Linked DNA regions of Callithrix jacchus. The protein of the gene in region 3 purifies or fractionates together with the protein of the main gene of each other region. This does not show direct contact. Links are inferred from orthologs where the notes say so. Each region holds a gene or a part of one and is shown on either strand. Other genes may lie near its edges.

The links. Proteins that work in one complex are often made in the same cells at the same time.
Region 1: the proteins of EZH2 (region 3) and NUMA1 purify together in Homo sapiens (affinity purification with mass spectrometry; 3 studies listed by BioGRID and IntAct, with this or other methods). This does not show direct contact. The link is inferred for Callithrix jacchus from reciprocal best matches to the Homo sapiens genes EZH2 and NUMA1.
Region 2: the proteins of EZH2 (region 3) and FAM120A purify together in Homo sapiens (affinity purification with mass spectrometry, with the first as the bait; 3 studies listed by BioGRID). This does not show direct contact. The link is inferred for Callithrix jacchus from reciprocal best matches to the Homo sapiens genes EZH2 and FAM120A.
Region 4: the proteins of EZH2 (region 3) and HDAC1 purify together in Homo sapiens (affinity purification with western blotting; 7 studies listed by BioGRID and IntAct, with this or other methods). This does not show direct contact. The link is inferred for Callithrix jacchus from reciprocal best matches to the Homo sapiens genes EZH2 and HDAC1.
Region 5: the proteins of EZH2 (region 3) and SIRT1 purify together in Homo sapiens (affinity purification with western blotting; 3 studies listed by BioGRID and IntAct, with this or other methods). This does not show direct contact. The link is inferred for Callithrix jacchus from reciprocal best matches to the Homo sapiens genes EZH2 and SIRT1.
Region 6: the proteins of EZH2 (region 3) and SNAI1 purify together in Homo sapiens (affinity purification with western blotting; 3 studies listed by BioGRID, with this or other methods). This does not show direct contact. The link is inferred for Callithrix jacchus from reciprocal best matches to the Homo sapiens genes EZH2 and SNAI1.

What each region holds. Positions count from the first base shown.
Region 1 is NC_133511.1:68,865,551-68,869,850, reverse strand, and holds the start of NUMA1 (nuclear mitotic apparatus protein 1), read right to left. Parts: upstream 2,801-4,300; 5' UTR 2,598-2,800; exon of another isoform or gene 2,410-2,597; intron 2,049-2,409; exon of another isoform or gene 1-2,048. UniProt on the Homo sapiens protein: Microtubule (MT)-binding protein that plays a role in the formation and maintenance of the spindle poles and the alignement and the segregation of chromosomes during mitotic cell division.
Region 2 is NC_133502.1:71,100,896-71,104,967, reverse strand, and holds the start of FAM120A (constitutive coactivator of PPAR-gamma-like protein 1), read right to left. Parts: upstream 2,801-4,072; 5' UTR 2,548-2,800; coding exon 2,074-2,547; intron 1-2,073. UniProt on the Homo sapiens protein: Component of the oxidative stress-induced survival signaling. May regulate the activation of SRC family protein kinases. May act as a scaffolding protein enabling SRC family protein kinases to phosphorylate and activate PI3-kinase.
Region 3 is NC_133512.1:98,906,161-98,909,660, reverse strand, and holds part of EZH2 (histone-lysine N-methyltransferase EZH2), read right to left. Parts: coding exon 3,444-3,500; intron 2,642-3,443; coding exon 2,463-2,641; intron 265-2,462; coding exon 169-264; intron 1-168. UniProt on the Homo sapiens protein: Polycomb group (PcG) protein. Catalytic subunit of the PRC2/EED-EZH2 complex, which methylates 'Lys-9' (H3K9me) and 'Lys-27' (H3K27me) of histone H3, leading to transcriptional repression of the affected target gene.
Region 4 is NC_133508.1:68,903,847-68,908,146, reverse strand, and holds the start of HDAC1 (histone deacetylase 1), read right to left. Parts: upstream 2,801-4,300; 5' UTR 2,735-2,800; coding exon 2,686-2,734; intron 1-2,685. UniProt on the Homo sapiens protein: Histone deacetylase that catalyzes the deacetylation of lysine residues on the N-terminal part of the core histones (H2A, H2B, H3 and H4).
Region 5 is NC_133513.1:62,528,741-62,532,881, forward strand, and holds the start of SIRT1 (NAD-dependent protein deacetylase sirtuin-1), read right to left. Parts: upstream 2,801-4,141; 5' UTR 2,792-2,800; coding exon 2,344-2,791; intron 2,301-2,343; exon of another isoform or gene 2,086-2,300; intron 547-2,085; coding exon 430-546; intron 1-429. UniProt on the Homo sapiens protein: NAD-dependent protein deacetylase that links transcriptional regulation directly to intracellular energetics and participates in the coordination of several separated cellular functions such as cell cycle, response to DNA damage, metabolism, apoptosis and autophagy.
Region 6 is NC_133506.1:45,525,407-45,529,365, reverse strand, and holds the start of SNAI1 (zinc finger protein SNAI1), read right to left. Parts: upstream 2,801-3,959; 5' UTR 2,721-2,800; coding exon 2,639-2,720; intron 1,959-2,638; coding exon 1,431-1,958; intron 1,351-1,430; exon of another isoform or gene 780-1,350; intron 1-779. UniProt on the Homo sapiens protein: Involved in induction of the epithelial to mesenchymal transition (EMT), formation and maintenance of embryonic mesoderm, growth arrest, survival and cell migration.

The DNA.
Region 1 (4,300 bases), on a different chromosome or scaffold from region 3:
ACATGTGAAGGATGTATGTATCTATAATAAGAAAGGAAGGAATAAAATGCAAGGAAAACTGGACAAACAGTAGACATATATGGGTGAAACAAAATAATCACTAACAATGTAAAACAACACACATTTTAATTGAGATGGAGTCTCACTATATTGCCCAAGCTAGCCAGGAACTCCTGGCCTCAAGCAATCCTTCCGCCTGCTCCTCCTGCCTCAGCCTCCAGAGTAGATGGGATGACATAGCCAGCCACCATGCCCAGATACAAAGTAATAATAATAATTATTTTTTTAATAAAAAAATATGGAATGCTTCACGAATTTGCGTGTTATCCTTTCGCAGGCGCCATGCTAACTTCTCCGTATCATTCCAATTTTAGTATATGTGCTGCCGAGGCGAGCACAAGTAGTAATTATAGAATTGCTCAACATCGAGATGGATTGACTTTGGGAATGGTCTCATTCTAGAAAGTCCTCATTTTGAGTCTGGGCAACACCTTTTCATACGTTTAGTGGGTTAGAGGCTGAATTAAATGACCACACCCTTTCAATGGCAATAACAGCAATTACTTTTGCACCAACCTATATCTTCTGATCATAATTTTATCAATTAGACACAGCTGTCCAAACAGCCCCTGATCAGCTCTGTTTAGCCACCTAAGGAGGGCTTTGCCCTCATCCTAACAGTTCGAGAATTCAAGTCTTATTTCAAGGCATTCTTCCCGCTTCCATATTCCACATGTAAAAAAGAATTCTATGTTCCCTAATGAGCTTTCAGGTAAGATCTTTAAGCTTTTGGGGTGCACAGTTTTTTGCTTTGAACTAAGATTAGGCATTACAATTAGTCATCACTGCTTGAACTTAGGCCAAGAAAAGAGTACTTCGGAAGCTTTCACAACGTGTGTGCTTCTTCTAAAAGAGAAAATACCACACAGAAGCAGAGGGAGAGAGGAAACATACACCCATCCGTGCTGACTGAAAGCTCCTTTACATGATTTTCATGCTCACCCCCGGTTCCCATATATTCACAGCAGTAAAGATCTCCACAAAGTAGACAGGCCCAACTCCCTTACTATTAAAGCTTTAACGACCAGACAACCCAGAAGTTTGGAAACATAGAACCAGCGAACAGATACTAGAGAGAGGGAGGTATGTATTAAGGCAAGAAAATATCATCACGTTTTCAAGAGGGAGTGACATTCCAGGAAAGAGGACAGCTTAATACTTAGGTTCAAATGCCACTAAATGAAAATGGGGGCCGGGCGCCGTGGCTCACGCCTGTAATCCCAGCACTTTGGGAGGCCGAGGCGGGTGGATCACGAGGTCAAGAGATCGAGACCATCCTGGTCAACATGGTGAAACATTGTCTCTACTAAAAATACAAAAATTAGCTGGGCGTGGTGGCGCGTGCCTGTAATCCCAGCTACTCCGGAGGCTGAGGCAGGAGAATTGCCTGAACCCAGGAGGCGGAGGTTGCAGTGAGCCGAGATTGCGCCATTGCACTCCAGCCTAGCGAAACTCCGTCTCAAAAAAAAAAAAAGAAAATGGGAAAGCAAAGTTCCTGTGCCCTTTCAGTCCAGGAAAACACATTATTCCAAAGCAAACATTAATGCCCATTACATGTCGCAAATCCTGCCTTAGCCATTAGGATACAGTGACGAAAAAGTCTCTCATTATCTAGAAGGGCAGACAAACACGCAGAGACTCTTAAAATACCAGATGACAAGTGCTAACTCAGAGGTAAGCAAAAGAGAGTACCCAGAGGCGGGAGCATCAACCCACAATCTTCACACAGTCACATCACTTATAATCATAAATTTGTACCCTCCGAGGTGAGTGTATGAAACATGTTATCTGTGAATAAAACAAAATACCAAAACAAAACAAGCCCATAAAATAAAAAATAAAAAGACCTACCTCTTTTGACCAGGATAACTACCCCAGGAAGTAGGTAAGTTTACATATATGAAAAGTGAGGCTCAAAATACACCGACCAGCCCAAGACAATGCGCACCCCCACAAAGCACCTTCCCCGTCTTCATTTATGCCCAACTGGCAAAACCCCAAGTAGAGCCAACCTCGCATTGGCTACGTAACCCTGGCCAAGCTAAACATTAAAAACCTCGGCCTCCCCATCTTTAAAGTATAACAGGTGCTTAGAGGATTGAAAAACCATTGGGAGGTCATTGTGGACAGTGTAGCTCAGAAAAATGCTGACTACTGCACTACCATAACTACTGCTATTGATAACGATAAACGCTGAAGACTTTCCAGGACCCGACCCCTCGCTTACAAGCCTTTCAGGCACTACCCTACCCCCAAACCCCGACCCCCGTCGCCCTCAGACTTAATTTCACAGACACGCCCCCAAACAGACCCTCCCCTTTATGGCACCCCCCCCGGCTCCTCCCCCTCAGACAGGCGGCTCTCCTAACAAACCTTACCCCCAAATTGTGCCCTTTCGGACTCGGTTACGGAGGAGGCCTTCCGCTCACACCGGCCTCTCCAGCACCCCGGTGCGCAGGCCGCATGCCAGACGCGGGCCCGCGCCGGTTACCTGGCTGCACGCTCCCGCTCCGCCTTGCGATTCCCACTAATCGTACCTTATCCCGGGCTCTGGCCAGCGCTGTGAGCGCACAATTAGTTTAAACTATGGCTCCGCCCCCTCGTGCTGCCCTCTGATTGGCCTCTGTCGGCAGTTGTCTTACGCGGGGCACGCTTGAAGACCCGGGGAAAGGAAGTTTGAGGGCCACTGGGAAAGAGAAGGGGTATCACCGCTTCCGGACCCCGGCCTGGATTTGAAAGCAAAGAAAACTACAAATCCCAGCGCCACCCGCGGCCTTGAAGCTCCGCCTCTGACAAACTACAGGTCCCGGTAAGCATAGCGTCAGTTCTTACGGCGCCTGCGGGATAGTGGCGACAAAAGTAGTTGCTATGGAGTTGCCCTGAGTAACCCTGAGGGACTCCGAGACTGGAGAGGAAGCAACTGCGGGTGAGTCAGGCGGGAATACAGGAAACTCATTCTAGGGGACAAGAGATCTATGGAGAAGGGAGGGGCACCCACAGAACGACTAAGAACTTCCCTGCTGGGGGATCTGAGATTTCCCCCACCTCCCCTCATTCCCTTTCACAGTGGGCAAGACACAACACCCACATGGGACAAACTGTGGGGGCAGAGGGAGGGAAAAGCATTGAGATACAAACCCATACAGATTTGGGAGTGTTTAAGAACTTCCCCCAGGGCCGGGCGCGGTGGCTCACGCCTGTAATCCCAACAGTTTGGGAGACCAAAACTGGCGGATCGCTTAAGGCCAGAAGTTCGAGACCAGCCTTAAAAACATGGCGAAACCCCGTCTCTACCAAAAATACAAAATATTAGCTGGGCTTGGTGGCGTGCTCCTGTGGCCCCAGCTACTAGAGAGGCTGAGGTAGGAGGATCGCTTGAGCACAGAAATTGAGGCTGCCAGTGAGCCGTGATTGCACCACTACACTCCAGCCTGGGCTACAGAGCAATACCCCCATCTCAAACAAAACAAAACAAAACAACGAACCTCCGCCCCCAACACAAACATAAGGCTCCCCAAATCAGATGCTTCAAGTCCCAGGCCCAACCTGGGAGATCGGAAACGCCCTCAGAAATGGGATTTGTTTTCCTCTGAAGAATTTGAACCCTCTTCCAAAACATGTTTTCCTCTGAAGAATTTGAACCCTCTTCCAAAACATGCGATTAGCATTAGATAGAGTAAATCCGCAGTCCCTACCCTAACTCTGGAGATGTAGGAAACTTCCTGGGGCGTGAAGTGCCTCTTTCCTTCCTCCCCCAAACAGTAAAACCTCTTCTCAATTGGCAGGATCCTCCCACACTGTTCCCAGATTCCCTTTTATCCCCACACCTTCTCCATGGTCCGCTTCTCAAAGCTCTAGTTAGTTATATTCTTTTTAGTCCTCACAGATCTATTACAATAAGTAACTTATCCAGCGCTTTCACAGTCTCTCTATTGATACTCTTACCAGCTCTGTTAGTCAAGGGTATTTGTCTTCATTTCACAGATTGGAAAAATGAAACCCAGAGAAAAGGGACTTGCCCAAGGCCACACACCAAATTAGTGACAAAGCTAGAACTAGACTCCAGTTCTCCGACTTTCAGCTGTCTCTTTAGCTTGAGCCTACGGCCTCAATAGCTGAAAGACCTGTTCCAAGGAACAAGTTAAACTGCCCCAGGGAAAAGTAACTTGTAGGGCCTACTTTGGACTATTTACACTTCAGCCTGAATAAGTTTCAGATCCTTCCATGAAAGCTGTAATGG
Region 2 (4,072 bases), on a different chromosome or scaffold from region 3:
CTAAAAAGAGGACAGCCCGTGAGTGAGAGAGCGTAAAGGATTCTTCAGTGGGGAAAGCAAAGGCCCCCAAACCCCCCGCCCCCGCCAACCCCACATCATTGTACCCAAACTTCCTGACATCTTGTTTGGTTACTGAGAAATTTCTAGTAGCTAAATCTCTTAGGCACTTTTCAAAAAGGTAAGGTGACCAGCTAAGAAACCACCAGGTAATTGAGTCATTACAATATTCATTTTGTGCAATGCACACTATAACATGATGTTAGATCAATAAATAAAAGCTTAGCAAAAGCAAAATATAGACAAAGTTATCCAGTGTCCAGAAACCTAAGTGGAAAAGATGATCTTAAATGTAGCTTAAATCTAGTTTCCAAACAGTTACACATTGGTCAGAATTCTGAGCACCTACTAGGTGTGTAAGGCATTCAAAGGGGTGCAGAGATAAAGAAATCATAGAATTAAAACAGTTCTTTCACGATACAGTGACCATATGCATACATACTAATTCTAATCCTAAGTAATAGTCAACAGTGTTCCCTTGAAAGTTACTTGACTAGTTAAGTAGATAGATGTGCGGTTATCAAAGGCAAGTAAGTACAGCTCATCCTGTCTTTTAAGCAGTCTTTTCCATTTCTGAGCAAGACTAAACTATGAACACTTTTACGCTCTATTCGGGAGGTGGATCACTTCCGACAAATGGCAGCACCTTACTTCCCTGAGCGCCCCAGATTTAAGAGGCAGGCACTTCCTCTCACACGAACTTCCCTGTGGACTGGCAGCTGTGTGTCTGCCAGGCGCAGGGGCCAATCGGGACTCTGCCGGCCGCCTCCACCCACGGCTTAAACACCATCTCACCAATTGCAACCAGATCTTGGGTGGGACTTCCGCTATCATTTTAGGCTTAACTACCACCATCTCGTCGCGGGGCAGTGGGGGCAACCGCGAAGACGGAATTTCACAAATTTTCAGCTCCAGCAGTTTCAAGGAAATGTCAAAGAATAACAAGATGGAAGATAGAATGGCAAGAGCTAAGGCAGCAAAAAGCCTCCCCAAATTTTGTTTTCAAGAAAATCAATGAAAAAAGCAAGCAATCACAACGTGAAGTCCAGGATCATGTATGTACTTATCTTCACAGTCACTGCTGGGTCCTGAAGTTCTCCTTTGGCCCAGTGCCAGCTGCGGAGCCCTCTGCCAAAGGGCCAGAGGAGGCCGGTGATGTAGAGCTCTGGTTACCCACCCGTCAGGGCGCCGCTGAAGGTCACTGAATACTTACTGTGCACCCGAAAAATAAATCCTGCGAGTTCACGCCCGCGTGGCTCGGCCCCTGACTTTGAGCGACTCCTTTCGCATGGGATCTACAAAACTGAACTGCCTTAAAGACCTCTTTCACACGGACTTGAAGTCACAGAACTGACAAAATCCCATCCTGTCAAAGTGCACGGTTCTTTGAAATCTTAACACAAAAAGCCATAGAAAGATCTCTAAACACCTCGTTCTAAGAGGAATACGGGCAGGGCACTAGCCCTTAGACACGTCTCGCTGTCACCGGGCTAACAACATTGGCAAGGGCGGCGGCGGCAGCACTGATACTTGCAGCCCCCAAGGGCCCCGGCGAAACCCCCTCTATTACTCTGTATCCTGCCTGCTTCCAAGATGAACCTGTTGCTGGGAAAGAACAGGCTAAATTAGAAAAGGGAGTATTTTGTCAAAGTTAAAGGTGAGTGATAGCCTGCCCGCCTCAAAAAGGACGGGAAAAACTACGGATATTGGGGAAGATGACACTGCTGCCTCCGAATTCTGGTCCCGGGCGGCTCTCTTCCAGCCCTCAAGTGTCCCCACGCTGCCGTGGACCCCGAACAGGGACAGCTGGAGGCGGGCTTGGGCAGCGCGCGGCCTGCACCCGCGGCCATCCATCTTGCGGCGCGGCCCGGCCCGGCCCGGCTATCCAGAGCCAGGGCTGGGGGAGCTCGCCGCCCCCCGCGCCGCCACGGCCGGGCGACATTCTGCGCCCTGGGAAAGGGGATAAGGGTGCGGCGCGGCCCCCGGTCCCCGGCCCGCCCGGATCCCCAGCCTCACCTTGACGTGGAAGCGGATGAGCGCCAGGCGGATGCAGTGGGCCATGCAGACGGGCGGCAGGAACCAGACCTTGGGCGGCGGGGTGCCCTTGTTCTGGACATGGCTGACGATCTGCTGCGCCGTTTGGCGCTCGTTGCCCTGCCGCTTGACCCACTCGTGCAGCCGGGCCTTCTCGAGCGCGCCGTTGAAGAAGACGAAGAGCTCGATGTTGCCGCCGAAGCAGGCCTTGGCCAGCGCCGCCAGGTAGCCGAGCATGTGGTTCCACTGGCCGCCGCTGACCCAGTCGGTGTAGAAGCCGCCGTAGAGGCGGTGCAGGCAGTTGTCGGCGTCCACCAGCAGGCGCAGCGGGGTCTGCGGGGGCCGCTGCCGCCCGCCGCCCACCAGGCTGCCCCGGGCCAGCTTCTGCAGCTCCACCGGCACCACAGCGCTCGGGCAGTGCTTCTCGATGTAGTCCTGGAAGCCCTGCACGCCCATGGCGGCGGCGGGGGCGCGGGCGCGGGTGCGGGCGGGGGGCGGCGGGGCCGGGGGCGGTGGGGCCGTGGCGCGCGGGCGGGCGGGCGGGCGGGGGCGGCGGCCTCTAGGGGGGACTGGGGCGGGTCGGGGGCGCGCTCATGGCCGCCGCGGCCGCCATGTGCTGCCGCCTCCCAGGGCCATGTCTGGGGAGGGATCTGCCGCCGCCGCCGCTGCCGCCGCTGCGAGGCCGAGGCCGAGGCCGAGGCTGAGGGCCGGGGCGGGGCGGGCGGGCGGCGCTGACGTAGCGGACCCGCCCGGCGCGGACGCCGCCCAGACCCGCGCAGGCCCGCCGGCAAGCAGGCGGAAGAGGCGGCGCCGGCGGGACGCGGCTCCGGGCTCCCGGAGGCGGTGGCGGCAGAGGCGGAGGTCCGGAGCCGGGCAGGGGCGGGATCGAGGAGGCGCCTGGGCCGCAGCAGGCCGCGCCTGGAGGCTACAGGCCGCCCGCCCGCCGGCCTCAGGCCAGTCTGCCGCCGCTCCCCTCCCTGCGCTCTGTCGCCGGCAGGGCCAGAGAGGCCGCCGCCCCCGCCCGGTGTTACTCGGGCAAAGGGAAGCCGCGAAGCAGGTCCCAGGGAAGAGCTCGTCTTCTCCTGAGGGAAGCGGCGACAAGATGGCGCTTTGAGGGGGAGCCGGAGGCCGAGTCACTCTGCTGGTCGGGACGCCGCCTTTCTAACGCCACCTTCGGCTCGCACCACTCCGGGCCTCCTGCCGACAAGGACTGCGGGGTCCGGGGGAGCGGGATGCTGGACGGCCACGCCTGTCTTCTTGGAAAGAGCAGGAAGGAGCGCGGGAGCGCGATTCTGCCGCAGGTGCTCATCCCAGCAGCTTCGGGCTCTCGATTGTTGTGATTTTTACACCTGTGACAAATGACATGGCCAAACACACCATAATGTCTGAAGGTACAGGTAGTCCGAAGTGCCTCCACGTCACGGAAGAGACTGTCTTGAGATCACAGGTCTGTTGAAGCGTGGGAAAGCCTGCGTTCGGTTTAGTTCCCACTGCGGAATGGCCCGACTGAAACGTGCGTCTTTGCAGTGGCTCGCGCTGCTCCTCTTAAGGAGAGGGATTTGAATCTTGTTGATTTAGTAGCAGCTTCTGGAAGGAGGTCGATTACGTGAATTCTGTTCCAACGTTCTGTCGTAATTGCTTCTAAAACGAGGTTGATACTGTATGTATATTAGACTTGCATAAAACATTTTCAAAAAGAGATTGTCTTTCAGAATATAAATTTAGAACCCAGCACTCTAAAAGTTTTAAAATACCGCTTTTACTTATCTTCACCTCTCCATCTGTTCTTTTTCTGGAGAAGCCTCTGTAGAAGAGCAGGATGCAGCCCACAGGCTGTGGCCCTGAGACCCGCTGCCCAGCACATGGATCCTGCACGCACACGATTTGGCCAAAGAAGCCCCCATATTCCCGGTGAAAAAGGCAAGTTGGGTTTTTCTGCTTTCTTTTCTGATATCCACCTCAAACGCAAGCCAGTGTCATA
Region 3 (3,500 bases):
GTTGTTACTAAGCATGCAAATCCACAACCTGCAGAAGTCCAGGCTGAAAAGGCAGTTTATGGCAATTCATTTCCAATCAAACCCACAGACCTACCAAATGAAATCAATCTAAAATAAAGAAAAGTTGTTATATACAATGCCACCTGAATATAGGTGATCAGTGCTTACCTCTCCACAGTATTCTGAGATGAATTCATTTTTCTGCACAGGATCTTTGATAAAAATTCCCCAGCCTGCCACATCAGATGGTGCAAGCAATAAATGCTAGAGAAGAAAACACAATCATATAATCAAAGAAGAGGGTAAAGATGGACTAGGGACAAATTAGACTACAGAATAAAAACAAGGCTATTGCTGTCAATCTTCAGACCTGTTCTAAGGCAGTAATGGACACATACCTTCAGTCAGTGTGAAAGCTGCTGAGAATGGCTGGCTAAGTATGAAAATTATGTTTTTCTTACAGAGCAGAGAAGTATCACTGTCTTACAGAAAAAACTTTTGGTGCTGTTGGTTGTTTGCATTACTGCTGCACTTTGGCTGCCTGGTCTCCTCAGCCCTTGATTTTCTTAAGTAATTTACTTTCATCCTGAATTTAATATAAGGGCACCTCCAAATCACCTTCCTCTTCATAACTTTCCCTCTACTTCCGTCAAGTGACATCTATTACCAGTTCTAGATGCCCCCAAGGACACCCCGATTCTTCACTGGCATTTGTTCCCTCTGAAGCCCACAGCAGCTTTCTTTTAAATTTGTTCTTCCACCCTACTTCCTCAGGAAAATCTACCAAGAGGTGGCATCATGATCTTGTCAGTCCAGTAGTCTATTTTCAGCAGAAAGGCCAAGATGATCACTGCAGTAAATTATAGAGTTAGGGATGTGTTCCCAAACACATGCCAATTTTTCAACATGGCTCATTATTATGCTTTCATTCAAAATTTTCTTATGACCTTTACAAAGGCTTCCTGATCACTCAAGCTTCCAATCTATTCCTATTCTGGAACATCCTACCACTCACCTGTGAGGTGAACTTCCCAAATACTCTTCTGTGCAGAAACTAAATTATAGCTAAATATTGCTATGCAAATGAAACCTAATTGGTAAAAAAGTATCTACATAGTTTAACATTTTTAAGAGCTAAAAAATGTCTTACAAAGAGGACATGTCAGTATCAATAGTATTACCCTCTTTCTGAACAAACTGAGGAAGCAGTGCAATGGCAAGTTGTTTGGGGGAGAAATGGAGATTTTTAGGTCTGAATGGGTATTGCCATCAGAAACTGAACCAGCATCACCATGACCCAATGACCTAAATGGATATATAACTGCCTAGAGTAAAATGATTTAAATGCCTAAGAGAAAAAAATCACAGCTAAAAACAAAAACAAAAAACCTGCCACCCTGTACAGCTATCTGCCATAAACACAGACTTTGGTTTAAAGACACAAGGGAACAAAACAAAGAGAAGTTCAGTGTTTTGCCTGGAGCAGAACTGCTGGTTGAAGGGGACTTGTTGGTAAAAAGTGTGATCTCAATCATAAATAAATGGTCCAACAATCAAAGATATGTCTACTCCACACCCCCCAACACACACACACACACACACACACACACACACACACACACGCAGCATAAGAGCAGGTTAATGGGAGTGAGTGCCTGGGGGATTTGATCTCCTGCTCCTTTACAAATCTTGTGACTTTGGGTTTGCTGTACCGGTAAAATGGGGTTAACATTTATTCCTCACTCACAGAGTTATCAAGATCAATGAACAAATCCACTAAAGCACTTAGAACAGTGCCTGCTATTTTTACATGCTTAATAAATGTCAGTTATTATTATAAGAAGAACTGACTGAAGAGAAAAACCTATCATCTACCCTAAAAAAAAAAAAAAAAGACAAATTTCCCAAATACATGTTGTTGCAGTTTCTTTTGCTCAATAATTACTTCCTGACTGATACAGTTAAAATTACCTACATACAATTCCCAGAATTCAAATATATAATTCCTGGCTGGGTTTTTTCCAAGGTTATTAAACAGGAACTAAGTAAATAAAAACCTGCCGTGGGAAATTTCATCTTTTACCCTACATAGTAAGGAACCTATAAATACTATCTGATGAGAATGACTCTGTGTTTTGATAGAAATCACCATTTATTTGCATTAAGGATACTAGATAAAGAGAAATTCAAATCTCTATTAAACAGCTCCTATTTCAAATCTGATACCATGAATGGCTACTTCTCAGAATTTGCTGGTTTCTCCCACCAACACAGTACGGTGTTCTCTAGAATGAAGAGACTGCCCCAGAGTGCATTACCCAGAGAAAATTATCAACGCTTTCTCTCTTATCAGTTGTACCTTTCAAGGATCACTTTTACTTTTTGCCCCAGTGAAATCATCTAAGACAATCCTGAGATTAGCATCACTAAAAACAACCTTCCAGAAGCAACTTGTTGCTCACCTTTTTGGAGCCCCGCTGAATACTGCAGTTCTTACAAGACACATTTTTACTGTCCCAATGGTCAGCAGCTCCACAAGTAAGACAGAGGTCAGGGTCGCACTCTCGGACAGCCAGATAGCATGGGCACTGCTTGGTGTTGCACTGTGCTTTGCAGCGGCATCCCGGAAAGCGGTTTTGACCTTCAGAGAGAGGTGTGGAGGTTCTTCACTCATCATCAACACCATGACTATCACAATCATCACCATATGCAAGAACTTGCAGAAAGATATGTGGCAAGGGCTGTACTGAGCATCTGACTGACTCAACCCTCACAACCGCCTTATTACTCTACTGTATAGACAAGGAAATGGAAGTATTAACAGCGAAGTTAAAGCTGTTTGTACTGAAAAAGACCACCATTGAGTTGTTCTTCCATTTTTCATTTGTTAAATAATGTATATATTTAAAGTAAGTGTGAATAAAGGGTTTGGATGAAACAATATCCATGGTCCTTGACCATTCTAATAGCTCCTGGTTCTAAACACTCCCTTAGTATTCAAGCTTAATGTGCAGTTTCATTAAACAATTATTATAATCCCCTACATTTGTGCTACATTCCTTTATTCTGAAGACTAAAACCTTCCTAAACTCTGACAACTTCTGGTGCCCAAAAATTATGTGGGTAGCTCCTTCTAGATTTCTCTTACAATCTGTGCCGACTTTAATATGACTTAATTTAAATGATCAAAGAAGAAAAAAATAAAATTCGGATTCCTTTAATACAACTTTGCCTGCCTCACACACATAGACACACAACACCCAGGCAACTGACTGGTCACTGGCAGGGGCCAGGTATGGGGCTCAATCAATACCTGTAGAATCGATGAATTTCCTAAAGTAAACAAGGGAGTGCTCCTGTGTTCTCACTTTTTGATTTTTTAAATTGCTGACCAAAGGCCTATTTAGTTCTCATGCAATTGCATCAAAGCAACAAATACTTACACTCTGAACTACATTGACAAAACTTTTCACAAAAATTTTGTGCTATCACACAAGGGC
Region 4 (4,300 bases), on a different chromosome or scaffold from region 3:
GCCACCGCGCCCAACCAAAATTTCTATCTTCTAAACTGCCTACTGGATGCCTCTATTTGGATGTCCCCTAAACATCTTAACAGTTATCAATAGCTATTTCTAAAAAAAACAAAAAACAATGGCTTAGGCCTGTAATCCCAGCACTTTGGGAGGCCGAGGTGGCAGGATTGCTTGAGGCCAGGCCCAGGAGTTCAAGACCAGCCTGGGTAATATATTGAGACCCTGTCTCTAGAAATTAAAAGAAAAAAAAAGTTATCAACTGACATGGCATTCTCCAAACCTCTAAACACTCACTATCAAATTGCCAACACCAGATGCTGGGCACTGTGGCTCATGCCTGTAATCCTAGCACTTTGGGAGGCTGAGGCAGGCAGACCACTGGAGGTCAGGAGTTTAAGACCAGCCTGGCCAATATGGTGAAACCCCATCTATAATAAAAATATAAAAATTAGCCAGGCATGGTGGTACACACCTGTAATTCCAGCAACTCAGGAGGCTGAAGCAGGAGAATCCCTTGAATCCGAGAGGTGGAGGTTGCAGTTGCAGTGAGCCAAGATCATGCTACTGTACTCTCACCTGGGTGACGAAGCTAGATTCCATCTCGGAAAAAAAAAAAAAAAATTGCCCACACCAGGAACTTGGGATCCATGTCTTCTCCCTTACCCCTACAGTCATGAACTTCTTTTTTTTGTTTGTTTTTGTTTTTTTGAGACAGAGTCTCGCTCTGTCGCCCAGGCTGGAGTGCAGTGGCGTGATATTGGCTCACTACAACCTTTGCCTCCCAGGTTCAAGCGATTCTCCTGCCTCAGCCTCCTGAGTAGCTGAGATTACAGGCACGTGCCACCATGCCCAGCTAATTTTTGTATTTTTAGTAGAGATGGGGTCTCGACATGTTAGTCACCCATGATCCACCTGCCTCAGCCTCCCAAAGTGCTGGGATTACAGGTGTGAGCCACCTCACCAAGCCTAATTTTTGTATTTTTAGTGGAGACGGGGTCTCACTATGTTGGTCAGGCTGGTCTTGAACTCCTGGCCTCAAGTGATCTGCCTGCCTCGGCCTCCCAAAGTACTGGGATTAAAGGAGTGAGCCAGAGCACCCGGCCCCCATGACTTTAATTTCTAAGGTATGAACCTGATGATGTCACTAACCTGCATAAAACTTCAATCATTCACAAGTGCCCTCAATAAAGTCCAACTTCCTTGGGACAGCATGCCCAGCCCTTCATGGTCTGGTCCCTATTTACAACTCTTTTTTTTTTTTTTTTTTGCGACAGTTTCACTCTTGTCACCTAGGCTGAAGTGCAATGGCGTGATCTCAGCTCACTGCAACCTCTGCCTCCCAGGTTCTAAGGGATTCTCCTGCCTCAGGCTCCAGAGTAGCTGGGATTACAGGCACACACCACCATGCCTGGCTGGTCCCTATTTATTTCTGCAGCCTCATTATTTGCAACCCTTCCCTCGTCCCTGCTCCCCACCTTCTACACTAGGCCCCCAAATCTATGCCTCAGCCATACTGTTACAAAGCCTGTCTTTCTTCCTCTTTCTTTCTTTGAGACAAGAGTCTCCCTCTTTTTTTTTTTTTTTTTTTTTTTTGAGACAGCCTCCCTCTGTCGCCCAGGCTGAAGTCCAGTGGCCTGATCTCATCTCACTGCAACCTCCACCTCCTGAGTTCAAGCAATTCTCTTGCCTCAGCCTCCCAAGCAGTTGGGATTATAGGCACGTGCCACCACGCCTGGCTACTTTTTATATTTTTTGCAGAGGCAGGGTTTTGTCATGTTGGCCAGGCTGGTCTCAAATTCTTGACCTCAAGTGATCCACTCGCCTTGGCCTCCCAAAGTGCTGGGATTACAGGCGTGAGCCACCGTGCCCGGTCAAATGATTGTTTTTCAAAGGTGTTGTCCTCTTTCTTGTCTCTGAACTTGCTGTTATGTTTGCCTTTCCCGTGCCTGGCTAAGAACTCCTGTTTTTCAGGACCTAACTGAGATGGTCCTGAAATGTCCCCTCCTTCGCTGACTCCACAGGTGGAGTTCAGTGCCTCTAATCTGTGTTCCCCTAACACTCTGAGCTCTGACAAGGAGAGAACTTCGGTCGTTGGGAAGGGTGACCCGATCATCCCCACGGCCCCAGCCCCTCAACACTTTCTCGAACACAGTAACCAGTTTGAGAGATCAAGTGAGAAGTGTGTTCTAACAGGTTGCATCCTTCTCCTTGCAACCCCAGGCGCCCCAACGTCACAGCAGCAACCGCAGGCCCAGCTCAGAGGCTGGGGGAGGGGAGGCGGGCGACCAGTCGTGCACGACTCTTCCCTCAGAAAAGATGAGGAAGGGACGGGGCAGGGAAGAGCTTTGGGTTCTCGGCTGGAAAATTTATCCTCGCAGCCGTCTCCATCAGATCCAGCCTCCCCTCTAGGAGTCCCACTCAAACTCTCCCTATCGGACTTCCTCAGAATCTCTCCACCAAGATTATCTCAGGCTTCCCCCACGCGATCCCCTCTTGGTCTCAGCCTCGATCTTCTTTTCTCGCAGCCTCCTCCCTCAGCCTCGACTTCCCCCTCGCAGCCTCCTCTCCGAGCCTCTCCCCAGCGCCTCAGCCTCCCGCAGCCTCCCCTCGGCGCTCCAGCCTCAGCCTCCAGGTCCCGGGTCCGGCCCGGCCCGGCCCCGCCCCCGCCGCGAGGACGGTGCTCACCGTCGTAGTAGTAACAGACTTTCCTCCGGGTGCCCTGCGTCTGCGCCATCTTGCTCGCCTCCCGTCCCTCCCGTCAGTCGGTCCGTCAGCCCTCCCGCCCGCGGCTCCGCTCAGCGTCCGACCCAGGGGGGAGGGGGCGGGTCTCCGGCCCGCCCCGCCCGTCCCCTCCTGGGCTCACCTATAGACGCGCAGCCCGGGCACCGCTCCAGCCAATCAGCTTGCGCAGACACGGGCCCGGAACTCGGCAGGGGGCAAGGGCAGCCTGGAGAAGCGGCTAAAGGCCCCCTGGGCCTGTACCAAGGTCTGCGACAGATGGGTGGGGAGCCGCCCGGGGACCGTACCATCACTCCCGGGGGAGGAAAGCAGCTTGGTAAACTTAGGCCCACTTCGTCGTGGGAAACGTGCTTGGAGATCGGAGGCCAACTTTCTGATTTTACGGAGAATAAACCGAGGCCTACAGGGGAAAAGTGACTTGCACAAGGTCACTCCGCCAATAAACGGGCTGAACCTGGGTTAGAAAGCGAGTTTGTCACCGCAAAGGAGGGCTACAGACAAATAATTAAAAATTGAAAAGAAAAGCAACACGCGGGTTTGGAGAGGGAGAAACTGACAAGAAAGGGAAAGAAAACTAATGTTTTTTCGAGGGGCTGCTGTGAGCCAAGTACTGTGCGACAGCTTTAACTGTTATTTCAGTTATTCCTCAAAACAGCTCTCGGTCAAGGGTTTTTACTTCCATTTTACAGGTTAGGAAAAAGAAGTTCGGACTTCTGTGAATTACTCCAAGTTACACAAGGTAATTAAATTCAATTTTTCAATTGTTGAGGATTTTTTGAATGCCTTCTTTGCACCAGAGGCTCTGTAAAAAAGTGACAGAACCCAGCCTTTCTGACTCCAAAACCTACCTCCGTGATTCAGTCACCCAGGATGACTAAGTAGGAGTCTCTTTAGACAGGAGAAAATGGGATTATCCCGCGATAGGAGGGCAGGTTTCTCAGCCTGGAAACTAATGACATTTTGAGCCGGGTAATTCGTTGTTATAGGACGCTGTTCTGTGCATTATAGGAAGTCTACCGGCATCCCTGGCCTCTACCCACTAGATGCCAGTAGCACCCTCCCCCCAGGCTGTGACAACCAAAATTGTCTCCAGACATTGCCAAGTACTGTGCAATAGCTTTACCATTGGGTTGGGGGAATATTAGCCAGGTATAAGGGAGTGTAAAATTGACCCCAACTCTCCTATTGAGAACCACTCCACCAGATCATCAATTACCAACTGATCATCATTGAAAGCTAAAAAACCAGGGCTGGGCGAGGTGGCTCACACCTGGGATCCTAGCACTTTTGGAGGCCGAGGCGGGTGGATCACGAGGTCAAGAGATCCGGAGTATCCTGACCAACATGATGAAATGCTGTCTCTACTAAAAACACAAAAATTAGCTGGGCATGGTGGCACACCCTATACTCCCAGCTACTTAGGAGGCTGAGGCAGAATCGCTTTAACCCGGGAGGCAGCGGTTGCAGTGAGCTGAGATCACCGCACTCACTACATTCCAGCCTGGTGACAGAGTGACACTCTGTCTCAAAAAAAAAAAAAAAAAAGAAAGAAAGCTGAAAG
Region 5 (4,141 bases), on a different chromosome or scaffold from region 3:
AGTATAAAAGTGAAAAAAACAAGAAATATGAAGTAAGTGAGAAAGACAGTCTAACTGGATGAAGAAAAAAAAAAGGCCGGGCACAAGGGCTCATGCCTGTAATCCCAGCACTTTGGGAGGCCAAGGCGGGCGGATCACAAATTCAGGAGTTTGAGACCAGCCTGACCAACATGGTGAAACCCTGTCTCCACTAAAAAAAAAAAAAAAAACTCAAAAATTAGCCAGGCATGGGGGTGGGTGCCTGTAAGCCCAGCTACTCAGAAGGCTGAGGCGGGAGAATTGCTTGAACCCAGGAAGTGGAGGTTGCAGATTGCACCACTGCACTCCATCCAGCCTGGGCGACAGAGTGAGACTGTCTCAAAAAAACCAACAAGGACAACAACAAAAAGCATACATTTACTCTCTTAAGTTAACAGCTCTGAGCCATACCTATCCGTGGCCTTGGAGTCCAGTCACTAGAGCTTGCATGTGAGGCTCTATCCTCCTCATCACTTTCACAGGAATGAAAACCATTAGTGATAATTTCATCACCGAACAGAAGGTTATCTGCAAAACAAACCAAAAGTCAGCCAAGACTACCAAAACAATGTGCACCTAATATGTATGAAGACCCATAAAGGGTTATAGTGTAATCATTTTCATTAAGCATTTAACATTTATATTGTATGTGTAAATGCTATGGGGTCGGCTTGCACTTCTCATAGGTACAGTTTCTTCATATTTAGGAATTCTGCTCTGACTCTAAAAGTTTCGGCCAAAATCTAAAAATAAATTAAGTCTACTTAAACAGAAAAGATAGTAACATATAGAAAGTATCAACCACAAACAATAGAGTTCGTGAAACTTGTAATAAATGGAAATTTACACAAAAATGTCATTCAAATAAAACTGGCAAAGTGCACTTTAAATTCATATAATACTAAACATAGGTATCTCTGAATTGTTTCCTCTATTAAATAATAAACAGTATTAACAACACAATTATTAAATTAGCATTCAACTGTGTTGCTTGAAATCAGGGTCTCTTGACCGGGCACAGCGGCTCACGCCTGTAATCCCAGCACTTTGGGAGGCCGAAGCGGGCGGATCACCTGAGGTCGGGAGATCGAGACTACACTGACCAACGTGATGAAACCCCATCTCTATATTTTAAAAAAAATTAATAATAATAAAAAAAGGCACACATTACTTTTTTTGAGACAGGGTCTCACTGTGTTGTCCACCGTGGAGTGCAGTGGCGCGATCATAGTTCACTGCAACCTCGAACTCCTGGGCTCAAGAGATCCTCCCGCCTCAGTAGCTCGGACTACAACTGTGCACCACCATGCACGGCTAATCTTTTTAAAAAATTTTTAGTAGAAAGGTGGTCTCACTATGTTGCCCAGGCTGGTCTAAAACTTCCAGGCTCAAGAGATCCTCCCGCTTTGGCCTCCCAAAGGGCTGGGATTACAAGAAAGAGACACTGCGCCCGGCCTGACCCAAATATTGATAAAGATGAACACCTCTCAAAAATAGAAATTCCTCAGATGAAAAATATAAAACCTTCAAAAACACGACAAATGCAACATATCTGCTTCATTATACTAGCAATGTTAAATGTGTCTCAGTACATACATACAAAAGAGTATGCTTCGCCTCAACACCGTCACCGTACACAAGAGCAAGATTAAAATAAAAGTAATACGAACTGCTCTAAAAGTAGTATGACTCTCCCATGCCCACTACTAACTGCATTACAGAATGGTAATGTCTTCAGGAACAGCCATGTTCTTTATATTTTGCAGGCTGTGACTACAGAAACAGCTTTGCTCTTTTAAAAATTGTAATTTCAGGCATAAAAATATAGACCCTAAAAAAAAGCAAATTGCACAAGTGTCAGATTGCAAAAAGTAATTGAAAATGCCGACGAACGGGGACAGCAAAAAGTTGCAGACTTAAGTGTCCTGGGGGGAGGGCGGGGAGAAAAAAGCAACCCCCCCCCAAAAAAAAGGGGGAAAAAAAAAAGCTCTAACAAAAGCAATATGCTAAAAGAGTAAGAGGGAAAAGAGAAAACTTATTTTAAAGCGACTGCGAGAGCCTCCCGACCTGGCTGCTGCGCAAAGCGCAAGGCCTCCCAGGCCGGCCACAGACAGAGAAAAAGCGAATCCACCCGCAGCTCCCGCAGCAGGAACGGCAGCCCCGGAGGAGCGCAATTAAGCGGAGGGCCGTGGTGGGGAAGAGAACGCCACGGAGCCTGCCCCGAGTCTCCGGCGCGTCCCAGAGACCCCCTCAACCCCACGCCAGGAAGATCCCCGGGAGAGGGAGGAGGGGATGCGCAGTTCCGGCAGCCCGCACCCTGCGCACCTCGGTACCCAATCGCCGCCGCCGCCGCCGCCTCTTCCTCCTCGTCGCCCTCGTCGTCGTCGTCGTCGTCGTCTTCGTCGTAGAAGTCGTCAGCCGGCGGTGGCTCCTGAGATAGGCCCTGCAGGCCCGGCCCATTGTCTCCTTCCCCAGCCACGGCCGTCGCCTGGGCCTCTTGTTCCCCGCCCGCCGCCGCCGCTCCCCCTGCCCCTGCCTCCGCCTCCCGCCACAGCGCCGCCGCAGCCGCCGGGCAGCTCTCGGCCGCCGCCGGCACCTCACGCTCCGGGGCCGTCCCACCGAGCTCGTTCGGGCTCCGCTCGGGGCCAGGACCATCTCTCCGCGGCCTCTTGCGGAGCGGCTCCCCGGCGGGCGGGGACGCGGCCTCCCTCTCGGCCGCCGCCGCCGAGGGGGAGCCGCCGGGCTGAAGGACCAGGGCCGCCTCGTCCGCCATCTTCCAACTGCCTCTCTGGCCCTCCTCCGTCGCCTCCTCTGCTCCCGCTTGACGCGCGGCACTGGCGCCCCCGCGGCTCCGGCTGCGGGAGATTTAAACCCCGTCACGTGACCCGCCCCATCGCCACCCCCGCCCTCTAGGCGCTCCCGCCACCCACGCGGGCCAGACCACAACACTACGGGTCACGTGGCGGGCGGAGGCAGCTGCGTCTACTACTCCGCCTGAGCTGGTAGGAAACTGTGCCCCGGCGGCCCGCGGCCGTACCCTTCTGTGGCACAGGCGTGTTGTGCAGCCAAATTCGCCCCTCGGCCGCTTTCTCAGCTTCTCTTTCAAACCGACCTCAAATCATTACCGCCCGAACAACTCCAGTTTTGGTCCGCACTGGGAATTTTTACTTCTGCCTCAAGTGTACACCTGGCCTGCCTTAGCCTTGTCTAGATTTAGCTAAGGGTTAAAACACACATGAAGCTGGCTAAGACTCAGCTCCCTTAAATACGCTGGATAGCCGTTCTGTTTCGTCAATGGGTAGGAAGAGAGGCAAAAGGAGGCGGCTCCCTTCCCACCCTCCTCACAAGCACACCATTCTCACAGTTCTTCTTTAGCTTTTTTCTGCTCCTTGCTTCTCTCCTTAGTCGGTTGTTTTTGCCCCTCTCCGTCACTTGTAGGGTGGTATAGATTGTCAGATCCTTTAAGGCATATGTCCTCATGGGAAGACGACCTTTGACACGAGGGTTTGGAGATCAGCTGGTTTGCATTCTGGCCCCAGCTTGGCTTCAAGCGTGTGTGAATTCCCTTCTCTGGGGCTCAGTTTTCTCACGTACAGAATGGGTGTGTTGGGTCAGTATGAGGAGAGTATGGAAGGAAAAGGACTTGGCCTCCATGCACATCTGCGCTTGGTTAAAATTTGGAGTCCTTCCTTTCTAGCATGAGCTATCTATGTAGCCGTTTGTTTATTTATTTATTTATTTATTTATTTATTTGAGACGCAGTTTTGCCCTTGTTACCCAGGCTGGAGTGCAATGGTGCGATGTCGGCTCACCGCAATCTCCGCCTCCTGGGTTCAGGCAATTCTCCTGCATCAGCCTCCTGAGTAGCTGGTATTACAGGCACGCGCCACCATGCCCAGCTAATTTTTTGTATTTTTAGTAGAGACGGGGTTTCACCATGTTGACCAGGATGGTCTCGATCTCTTGACCTTGTGATCCACCCGCCTCGGCCTCCCAAACTGCTGGGATTACAGGCGTGAGCCACTGCGCCTGGCCCATTTATTTATTTATTTATTTAAGACGGGGCGGTGGGGGGGGGGCTTGCTCTGTCGCCAGGCTGGAGTGCAGAGGCACGATCTCGCCT
Region 6 (3,959 bases), on a different chromosome or scaffold from region 3:
CTGCCATGCACTGGGCCAGCAGCTGCGACTGGAACAGGTGCTGGGCACCGCTGCCCCATGCACCTGCTCTGCTCCTCCCAGCCCCCACCCACTGGGCCCACCATTAAGGCACACAATGGGAGTCAATGAGGACAGCAGTGATACATTTCTGTGTCCCAGCCGTGCCTTTACATTAAAATAATGCCGGATTGGGGGCAAGGGAGGGGGGACAGCAGAGCAGCACCCTGAGGGGTTCAACGCTCCCAAAATAGAGCCCTGTGAGCTAGGCAGGCACCCAGAAGGCCAGGCAGTTGGACCTTTACATGTTAAAATCAGGGCTAAGGGTGCACAAAGGAAGAGAAATGGGTAGCCTTAGTTGAGTAAGATGCCAATAAAGCCTGCAAAAGGCCAGGCCTTCCAGACACCGCACTGACCCTCACCACTCCGAGGTCAGGTGCTGGGTCAGGAAATGGCAGAACCTGCCCGGGGTGAACCCCTGGAATCTCCTCTCTCAACCGTCACTCTCCAGAGCAGCTCTGGGCATGGTGGTCACCACCATTCAAGTTCTAAAAAGTTCTACCTTTTCTCCACGTCCAGAAAGTTTCCTACGCATTTAGTAAATTTTCAAGACACCAAGACATGATTGCGCTGTCTGCCCCAAAGATGCCTTTCCTGGTCTGCCAGATAGGACTGAGTGGGGGTGGGGAAGCAGACCAGAGAACCACCAGGTATGATAAATTACTGCAAAGTGATTAGCATAAAGTGATTATCAACCTTCACAGTCACTCTCTAAAACTTACCTATCATAATCCTCCCCTGAGGCTCAGAGAGGTTAAGTTGCTTGCCCAAAGTCACACAGCAGGGAAGCCGAGCAAACGGCAAGGAAGCATTTTTGTGAGCATTTAGCAGGTACCAGGCACTTTGCCAGGTGCTTCCCATACGCATTCCTGCATTTAGCCTGCATAGAAACCCCATAGGCTGTTCTCATGCCCATCTGAAAGATAGGGAAAATGAGGCTCACAGAAGTGAAACATCAGACCAAGCTTTGAGAAAGTTCTCAAAGCAGGATTCAGAGCCAGGTGGGGGGGGGGTCTGACAACATCCTGTCTGGCTAGGGAGGGGTGGATCAGGAGAGGGTGGGGCCAGGCGGACCCCTTCGCACCTGGCCACCACCACAAGGTGCTGGTGGCACCTTTCCCATATCCAGCTCCTACCCATTTGGCTGAGAAGCTGGCTGCAGGGGATTGGAAAGGTGTCTGCTTTGCCCATCTGCTTAGCTGATGAAGGAACATTTCTGCCAAACGTTTCCAGAGAGCCGGGCCCCTGAACTTGAGTTAGAAGTTAGGAGACTCGGGGCCTCCGTGTCTACAACTTTGAGAATGAGAAAAGTAAGCCCAGATTCACAAAAGCTGGCAGAGAAAGCAGTGGGGCGGGCCAGGAGGGGCACTTACCAGTGTGGGTCCGGACGTGGCCTTGCAGCAGCCAGGGCCTAGAGAAGGCCTTCCCACAGGTGCCACAGACGCAGGGCAGCGTGTGGCTTCGGATGTGCATCTTCAGGGCACCCAGGCTGAGGTATTCCTTGTTGCAGTATTTGCAGTTGAAGGCCTTTCGAGACTGGAGATCCTTGGCCTCAGAGAGCTGGGCCAGCTGCTTGGGCACTTGGACCAAGCCTGGGAAGACAGCATAGGCCTCGGCCTCCAAGGAAGAGGCCGAAGTGGAAGAGAAGGACGAAGAAGCCGGTGAGGGTGGGCTGGGGGGCTGGGAGCCTTTCCCGCTGTCCTCATCTGACAGGGAGGTCAGCTCTGCCGCCCTGGGGCTCTCCTGGGCCCGAAGGGAGGCCCAGGCAGTTGGCTGGGCTTGGGGGGCCAGGACAGAGTCCCAGATGAGCGTTGGCAGCGAGGCCGTGGGGTTGAGGATCTCCGGAGGTGGGATGGCTGCCAGCAGGTGGGCCTGGTCATAGGGCTGCTGGAAAGTAAACTCTGAGGGAGAAAGAGCAGAGTCAGGCGTTAATTAAATCATTCACTCAATCAACAAACTAGAGCCCACCGCTGGCCAGGGGCTGGGTGAGGCTGACTCTCAACACATAATTAGATCAATAAAATTATCCATAGGGCAGACCAAATTCCTGCCCTCCTCGCCCAGGTCACCCAACCTGAGTCTCTCACAGGTAGGACCCCCAGTTGAAGAGGGTCATTTCCAGATCTCGGTCTCCTGAGTCCCAAGTCCCCAGCCTGAAGCCAGAAGCCCATTACCCCAGCCCCCGAGCCACCACTCCACCCCAGTCCCCCTCCTCACACACATCTGGTCTCTCCACCCCTCTCCTCAACACTCTGGACTCCGGACTCTCCCCAGCAGCGTCCGGCGGGCCCTCCTGGCACAGGCCTCCTTCCCCTCGGGAGCTCCTGCGCCTCTCGCAGGCTACAAAGGCCCCCCAAGCGCAAGACCCCTGCCCGCTACACGGCACCCCCCAAACCACTCAGATAGATCCCTGGGACTGGAGACCTACCTGCCCGGTCTCCCGAGCCCGAGCCCTCAATGCTCCACAAAACATCCTGCGAATCGATCCTGGCCCAAGCAGGCCGCCTCCTTCAGGTGCCCCCCACGCAGCCTTCGCCTGTCTCCCCCAAATCTCCTGGAGCCCGGGACCCCTCCAACGCACCTGGATTAGAGTCCTGCAGCTCGCTGTAGTTAGGCTTCCGATTGGGGTCGGAGGGCTTCCTGACAAGAAAAGAGCGCGGCATGGTGGCCAACGCACCGGGGTCGCCGAGTCGCTCAGAAGTAGCGCAGGAGAACCACCGCTTAGGCCGTGCCGCGGCGCAATGAGTGCACCCGCGCCGCCAACTCCCTTAAATACTCCAGGGGGCGGCAGGGGAGGGGTCTTATCTGCCTCGCCCCTTTGTCACCTCAGCACCAATCGGAGGCACGTCTCCGCCGAAGGCCACGCCTCGAGCAGGTGCGCCGGGGGCGGACCCGGCTCGCGCCGCGTGGCGCTGGGAGCCCGGGCGGAGGCTCCTGCAAGGCGGGGTTCGGGAGCGCAGCGCTGGTCGTTCCCAGTGCTGGGGCTGTCCGGGGCGGGACATCGGGCGCATTTAGGCCCCTGCGAGGCGGGACCCCTCGCACCCACCCGCTCAGCGCCCCACGGTCGGAGCGCTTCTGACGCCCCCTGGCGCTGCGCGCGGGCCGGGACACCTGACCTTCCGAAGCCCGCCCCCGCCTCGGGCTTGGGAGGGGGCGGAAATTTCCTCCGCCCGGCTGGCGCCTGGAGAGCGTGGCATTGAGGAGGGAAATGCATATTGCTGGGGAGGATGCGAGGAAACGGACACTACACGTGGCTCTTGGCAGCATGAAATGCCATGGCTTTTTTGCAAAGCAGCCTAGCGAAGTGCGCCCGTTCCTTCCCTTAGCCAGTGTTTACGGAGCGTCCAGCACGTGTGGGGCACTGTACCTGGGGCCGGGGCACAGCCCTGGACAGGACACTCAGAGCCTCTCTCGAAGTTTAGCTACCCGTCCAATGGGGGAGACAGCTGAAGTAAACAGACAATTACAATGCAAAGGGAAGTGTGCTTTGGTGGGGGAGAGACGGGACGCGGCGACCGTTAAGAGGCGGGTCACCTGACAGGGGGTCGGGGTGACTGCCCAGAGGAAGTGAAGAATTATCAAGGGGAAAGGCCCGAGGGAAGAACTGGCAACTGCTTCCGAGTAACTCCTGGAGAGCAGCTCCCAGGGATGGGGTGGGGTGGGCAGGCCCGGAGGGGTCAGATGTGAGGAATCTGGACTTTGCCTCAAGGGCACTGGGGAGCCACCGAAGGATTTTCAGCTGAGGAGGTACCTGGTTAGAGTTTCCTTGAAAAAGATCCCCGTAGGCCGGCAAAGAGTTGGGATGAGGCCGGTGTGTCTCCTGAGCCCTTTGAAGATCCCCATCCTGTCTACAGGCTCTCACGGCTCCTAAGGGACCCTGACTGAATGTATGTGTGGTGGGC